Linked DNA regions of Arabidopsis thaliana. The protein of the gene in region 2 interacts with the protein of the main gene of each other region in a pairwise test. Each region holds a gene or a part of one and is shown on either strand. Other genes may lie near its edges.

Region 1 (3,759 bases), on a different chromosome or scaffold from region 2:
GAGTCATTGTCATTGAAACTAGGATGATTCGGATCGATCCCAGTATCGATAAAACCGATTATAACTCCTTCTCCAGCAATCTCAAATCCACCTTCTTTGACCCATGCTCCTTGTGGTAAACCCATAAACTGTGGAGTATAAGTTGTTGCTGTCCTAACAGAGTAATCCAACACTATGTTTGCTACTTCTTTTCTCATTGAAAGCTTCTCAGCCTTAAAAAAAGAAAAACCATAACACAAAAAAATCAAGATCAAGAACTCAAGATTATTTCTACAATTATCAATAACTCAAGATTTTTACCTGTTGTGAGTTAATAAACAGAGCAAATCCATTGATAAGATAATGGTAACTATAAAGCTTTATATACTTCTCTCCTTTTAGAGTCTTTCTCAAGAAAGAGTCATGAGATTGAACAACAGATGGTATCTTTGACTTCCCATGACGTTTCCTTGAATTGTTCCTATAATAAAAACGCAGAATACAAAAAGGGTTTAACTAAAGCTTCACAGAGAATCTAATGACAACAAAAAGAATAGAATTTTATCAGTACCTTGGTCGCAATTTTGGTGTAAACTTTGACTTTTTGTGTTTAAGCTCTTGTTCTTCAAAGAGATGGACAATAGGAGGTTGTTTAAGTGTGACAATGTACACAGCAGAATCATCATCATCGTCTTGTTGTTGTCCCAAAGTGTTATTAGACAAAAACACAAAAGAGATCATAAGTAATAAAAACCCAAACCTCACCAACATTACTCTAACCATTTTTTTCGTCTCCCTTCTAAATTAAGAAAGTGGGAAAAAAGGGTTTTTGATTTAACACTTTCCACTAGGTTTTATACAGAGAATGAATGAGTCATGAAAGCACTTAAAACCCCACCTAAAACAATGATAATTTAAGGAAAAGAAAGAAAGCTGCAAAAGAAGAAGAACCCATTAAATCATATTCATGGTGAACAAGTGGAATTGACACCTTTTTGGTGTAAGGAGGTCGGTGAAAGAAGAGTGCGTATTTATATAATATTGTATATATGTAATATAGAGATAGATAGATATTAGGAAGAACTGAATAATCTCACGAGAAAATATATGAAACTGTTTTTTATTGGATATTGAAAAATTGTGAGCCAAATTGAGTGGTTACGAAGAATTTGGTTCCCACATGTGCTTAAAGTAGAGGAGAAAGGAAGCAAGGAACACTCATAAGTGCGATCAAACTTAAATGACTCTCCTTTTTGTTTTCTTTCAATTATTTATTTTTTTCCTCGTTGGATCGTCAATACTAATAAGATATCCAAAATGATACAAGATAGGGTTTTGATTCCCAAAAAGTGTAGATTCTTGCCAATTAGTGGATGTATACTTAATGAAAGGTTGTAGAATGTGGCACGTAGAGTTATTCGTTTTCATGGAGAACATGTTCATCTAGAGAATGTCGTATTTGTAGAACCGTTTGAGAAAAACATTTTCATCAAAATATATCGTATATGCATAACCGTCCATTGTGGATTTTAATGTTGCAGAGAACTGTATCGTAAAATTGATAGGTACTGTTTATCGTAATCATAAATGTGATATATAGTTTTAATACGTCACAAATGTGATATGTAGTGTCAGTCTACACCATTTGGCGAGAACAAAATGGTAGAAGACATGGGGAGAATTCTAATACGACAGACAGCTCGACTAATTCGTTGGATTGATAAGCAAACCTGAAACACTCTTTCCTTTATCAGACTTTAGGAGATAGGAGATATCATAGAGGACTCTAAATGTGGTTTGCCTCTAGAAGTTAAAAATTTATTTAATTTTTCAAATTTCAGTTTTTTCTCAAATTCAAATTTTGTCGTACTTGTTGTAAAAACCGATGTTTTTTTTCTAATATAATTTAACATTAGATTAAAAAAAAACGGATTAGCTCAAAGACCATAAAATAAAATTTAAGGATATAGTTAGAATTTAAAATTTAGGTTTAAAAATTCAAAAATAATATTTGGAACTTAGTAATTTATGTGTTGCTTTAAAATTATAAAATTATATGAAAATAAATATTTAATATATATTTTATCATTTTTTTTGGAACAAAATATATATAATTTAGCCTATTTTCGTAATTCTCCAAAAAGAAAATGGTCGTGTAATATCGTCGTAGTTCGTACTCCACATGCACCACAAAACTGATCGGGAGATAAGAGCGGTAAAAACCACCGAGTCACGACTCAGTGACTCAAATCGTTCTTCCCACACAAAAAAAATGGTTACTGCGACAGCATCAACTCCATTTTCACTCTCGTCGTCCGTGGTTTTCACGCGCCGTCGTAATTTCAAACGTTTTCCAGTTTGCGCCAGTCTTTCTCCGGAGGTTTCTCCTCTTCTCAGAGCAGCTCATCACACTGTAAGGGTTAAATCGGGAAAATTGAATCCTTGAAACTCAATTTCAAATGGGTATTGTTTGAAATTGTGTTGAAAATTCATAAAATTGAAGAAAGATTGATACTTGATTACAAAACTTTTGTCTGGTAATGTTTTCAGGTGGATAATTATGTAAAGAGTGGGATGATTATTGGTTTAGGATCTGGAGAAGCTTCAGATTTTGCTATACGTTATTTGGGTCAACAACTTGGTTCTGGTTCTTTACATAATGTTGTTGGTGTACCAATGTAAGTCTTTTGCTTCTCTCTCTGATGTTTATCTACTATGAATCCAATAAAAAATCAATCTTTTGTTTGTTCAGTTGTTGAATTTCCCTATTCATTAGTTCTTCGATAATGATTTTGTTGTTGGTGTACCAATGTGAGTCTTTTGATTCTGATTCTGCTGCTGGTTATCTTCTATGACTCCAAATAAAGTATCAATCTTTTTGTTTGTTCAGTTGTTGATCTCTCTATATTCAATCTTTTATGTTACGAGTTGAGTTTTGATAGGCTTCATGATGATTTGTCCTGACCCTTTTTCAGGTCTGCTCGAAGTGCGAGTGAAGCAGCAAAGTATGGAATCCCCTTGGAATATTACCGGGATGGTGTTCAGGTAGCTGCTTCTCTGTGTTTTCTAAAGCGGTTTGATCTATTTCTGCATCTAGGGGTAATGTTTGCAGTGTGACACTTTTGTAGATTGATTTTGCATTTCATGATGCTGATGCTGTAGAAGAGAATACGCTTATTGCAGTTATTGGACGGCGGAGAAGTTCACAGGAAGATGACTATATTCTGAAACAAAAGGTGTATGCAGTTTCGTGTACTTTTTGCAGTCTTTGAATACTCATTGCTTAGCTTTGGGCTGACAAAAGAGAGATTTTACAATACAGTCTATTGTAAAAGTAGCTGATGAGGCAGTCTTCATGATAAAGGAAGAACAATACAAAGCCGGTCTTGAAGGTTCTATCCCTGTTTTAGTTCAATCTGTAAGTAAATTTCTACTGATGAACTTCGTTTTAATCCCTTGGTGATATGATTCAAAACTTTTATTCCTTGAACTTTGATTGCAGCTTAATTGGTTGGCCATAGCTGAGGAGATAGATGACTTGTATCTAGGCGATGCAGAGGTGTGAATCTGCTTCTTTCATAAATGCTTTCTCGGGCTTTTGGTTCTATCGATTGTGTCAAGCCTTGTTTGAGTCATTGTATTTTACTTGGTGGAAAAGGTGTGGAGAAGAGCTTCTGTTGAAAATGAAGGCCCTCTTGGAGGAGACTTTCCTATAGTTACCAGTGATGGTCACAACATTCTTGATGTTATATTTACAACTCCGATTCGAAGCCTCGGTAA
Region 2 (3,759 bases):
AGTTTCGGGATTGTTTTTTTGAGTTTGGCGCTATTTTGGATCTGACATGGAGAGGGCTCGTACCTTACATAAATACCACCACCACCACCCCCCCCCCCCCTTTCAATAGCTATTGTTGTTTTAGATATATTGATACATCAATGTTTTGTTGTCTAAGTAAGGTATTTGCATTTTGGATTTCGATTCAGGACATTCTGGTTAGGCACGGTTTTGATTCATTTCATAATCGACTTGACACAAATTGCGTGGATGGTGCCGATTTTGTGACCTAAATACTAACATCAAATTTTGTGACCTAAAAGAAGTCTTATATATTTTGAAAGTTGCATTATCATCATTCCATTTCAAAGAAATAAAAAAGAAAGAAAATAAAATAATCAAACCCTTAAAAGAACTTACTCATTTCTTGCATATTACATATGAGTAGCAATTTGTATTGCCTTTCCACTAAGGATCTACCTCTTTTAGGCAACTGAAAATGTTGAATTTGATGGATCATAATCTTCATTGTACTTAGGGTGGTCAACTCATTTTAAAGTCAGTTCTGGTGTGATGTGTAATCTTTGTTTGGTTGGGCTTTTATAACTCGAGCAACGAGTTCATATTAATACGGTGCAGATTTTACATAGATTGTTACTATAACCCTAAATCCAATAAGGTGTATGACTCAACATGTTCAGCATCCTTAATGTTCTATTATTTGAAATGGTGGACGAGTATGCAATAATTGACGGAAAGAATAATGAGCTTTACTTCATGTAAGCATCAAAGATTCATAGGTCGATTTGATCCTTAAGAGATGAATAGAATGTCACTAGATTGTTGGTGATTAATAAAGATGATATTAGTTTGTACAAATCCATGAGAAACTGAGCGTACGTAATAATATGTTTGGTGATGAAAATAAAACAAAACAAATAAAACTAAGAACTTGTTTATAGCAAGAGGTTGGGAATTTTTGTGGTTTCTGTGTGATTTCGGTATGTTCTTGTAACAATAAGCATATTCCAAAATATGTATCCGGATGTAGTTGAAGATACAATAATATATAATTTTAACCAAAAAGAAAACTACAATTTTCATGATAAAATTAATATTTTATTGATTTTAATATATAAACATCTTATAATTAATTTAATGAATAAAATTTTATAAATTTTTATATCTATAATTTAGTTAATTCTTATTATATGTTTATTATTTCGTTCTAATTTCTAACCAAATATTAGTTTTTAATATTTGTTTTGATCTGTAGAATTATTTTATCGGAATTTTTGGAATAAATCGAAGCAATTAACAAATGAAACCATTGTTGTTAGTTGTTACACTATATGATTTTTTCGTTATAACCAAATATTTGTTTTTCTCTATAAAGTTTTGCTTATCAAAAAAATTTTGGAGAAAATTGAAGCAATTAACAAATTAAACCAGATTAAAAAATATATATATATACATATATATATATATCATTTTAAGTCTCTTGTAAGGTAATTTGATTGGTATATATATATACTAATGGACCAAAACCATACCAAAGAAATTAAACCAAACCTAATTACTCTAATTTCTATCCTTTGTCAGATATTTTCTCTCGTTGGGGTCAAAAACTCATAAAATAAAAAAGCAATTAACAAATCAAACCAGATTACAAATTATATATATATATATATATATATATATATATATATCATTTTAAGTCTATTGTAAGGTAATTTGATTGGTATATATATATACTAATGGACCAAAACCATACCAAAGAAATTAAACCAAACCTAATTACTCTAATTTCTATCCTTTGTCAGATATTTTCTCTCTTTGGGGTCAAAACTCATAAAATAAAAAAGCAATTATTGGTTGGCTGATAAACAATTACAAAGAAGTAAGATATATACCACACACCCCAAAAAAAAAAAACATTGAAGATATCGAACCATCCACTAATACAACGCCACGTCAACAAAAAGAGGATCCCACAATTTGCAGACTCCAAATAGCAAATGTAAAACCTTATCTCCAAACCTAATCTCATCACCTTCTCTTCCCTCCACTCAAATCTCTCCTCTCTTCTTTCTTCTTCTTCAATACAATACAATCAAAAGAACAGAGAGATAAGGTTAGAGCAAAACACTGTCTGAAACAAACAACAAAAAAATGGCTTGCTCTAATCTAACAACAATGTGGGTTTCATCAAAACCATCTCTTTCTGCTGATTCATCTTCCTTATCATTCCGATCTGTTCTCAAGTGCCCAACTAACACTTCCTCACCTCCTTCACGAGCTTCCTCTGTTTCACCACTCCAAGCGTCTCTTCGTGAGCTCAGAGACCGTATCGATTCAGTCAAAAACACTCAAAAGATCACCGAAGCTATGAAGCTTGTCGCTGCAGCTAAAGTCAGGAGAGCTCAAGAAGCTGTTGTCAATGGACGACCATTCTCAGAAACCCTAGTTGAAGTTCTTTACAACATCAACGAACAGCTTCAAACCGATGATGTCGATGTTCCCTTAACCAAAGTCAGACCGGTTAAGAAAGTAGCTCTCGTTGTCGTCACCGGTGATCGTGGATTATGTGGTGGATTCAACAATTTCATCATTAAGAAAGCAGAGGCAAGAATCAAAGAGCTTAAAGGTCTAGGTCTTGAATACACAGTCATTAGCGTGGGCAAGAAGGGAAATTCTTATTTCCTCCGTCGCCCGTACATCCCCGTCGACAAATACCTAGAAGCCGGAACTTTACCTACGGCTAAAGAAGCTCAAGCTGTGGCTGATGATGTCTTCTCTCTGTTTATAAGTGAAGAAGTCGACAAAGTCGAGCTCTTGTACACAAAGTTTGTCTCTTTGGTCAAATCAGAACCCGTGATCCACACGCTACTGCCTTTATCACCTAAAGGAGAGATCTGTGACATTAATGGAACCTGTGTGGATGCTGCGGAAGATGAGTTTTTCAGGTTAACGACAAAAGAAGGGAAATTGACAGTTGAAAGAGAGACTTTTAGGACACCAACAGCTGATTTCTCGCCGATCTTGCAATTCGAGCAAGACCCTGTTCAGATTCTTGATGCTTTGTTGCCTCTGTATCTTAACAGTCAGATTCTTAGGGCATTACAGGAGTCATTGGCTAGTGAGCTTGCAGCTAGAATGAGTGCAATGAGTAGTGCTTCGGATAATGCATCGGATCTCAAGAAATCGCTTTCGATGGTGTATAATAGAAAGCGTCAAGCTAAGATTACTGGAGAGATTCTTGAGATTGTTGCTGGAGCTAATGCACAGGTTTGATTTGTTTTGAACCCTCTTTGAATCTTCTATATGAGTCCAAAACTCTCTTCTTCTTCTTTTTTTTTCGTTATCGTTTGTATAATGTATAATTGATAATCTCTAGAACTCTTTATAATCATGCAATTACAAACAAAAACGCGGTTGTATCTATTTTGGCTTTTCATTGGATAAAATGATGGAGATCTTCGTTGAATATTTGTGGATGATGAAGAGTTTTTGTAGGATCCTTTGGAGGAATAAGATTTTGGTTTCTTTGGTTGTTAGTTGTGAATCCTTTTCCATTGTTGTTATGACTAAGGATCTTAGTTAGGGACAACATTGAATCCTTTTGTTCACCCCATCTTTCAAGATTTCATAAGACTTTTTTGAATACCTCTGACTGGATTTGGTAGTCTTTAAATGTACATCGGAAGATACAAGTCTCGAGTCGTGACTAACCAACACAGCTGCTCCTTTGAACCAACTTAGTGAATTCCCCAAGGCAGT

The links. Proteins that work in one complex are often made in the same cells at the same time.
Region 1: the proteins of ATPC1 (region 2) and AT5G44520 interact in a two-hybrid assay, tested with the Arabidopsis thaliana proteins (one large-scale study listed by BioGRID).

What each region holds. Positions count from the first base shown.
Region 1 is NC_003076.8:17,934,934-17,938,692, reverse strand, and holds the start of AT5G44520 (NagB/RpiA/CoA transferase-like superfamily protein), read left to right. Parts: upstream 1-2,138; 5' UTR 2,139-2,161; coding exon 2,162-2,392; intron 2,393-2,529; coding exon 2,530-2,657; intron 2,658-2,954; coding exon 2,955-3,024; intron 3,025-3,107; coding exon 3,108-3,215; intron 3,216-3,301; coding exon 3,302-3,397; intron 3,398-3,481; coding exon 3,482-3,538; intron 3,539-3,637; coding exon 3,638-3,755; intron 3,756-3,759. Other genes in the region: AT5G44530 (Subtilase family protein), read right to left, coding at 1-212, 301-460, 551-762.
Region 2 is NC_003075.7:2,350,275-2,354,033, reverse strand, and holds ATPC1 (ATPase, F1 complex, gamma subunit protein), read left to right. Parts: upstream 1-2,015; 5' UTR 2,016-2,151; coding exon 2,152-3,273; 3' UTR 3,274-3,536; downstream 3,537-3,759. Other genes in the region: AT4G04650 (RNA-directed DNA polymerase (reverse transcriptase)-related family protein), read left to right, coding at 1-45. UniProt on the Arabidopsis thaliana protein: Produces ATP from ADP in the presence of a proton gradient across the membrane. The gamma chain is believed to be important in regulating ATPase activity and the flow of protons through the CF(0) complex.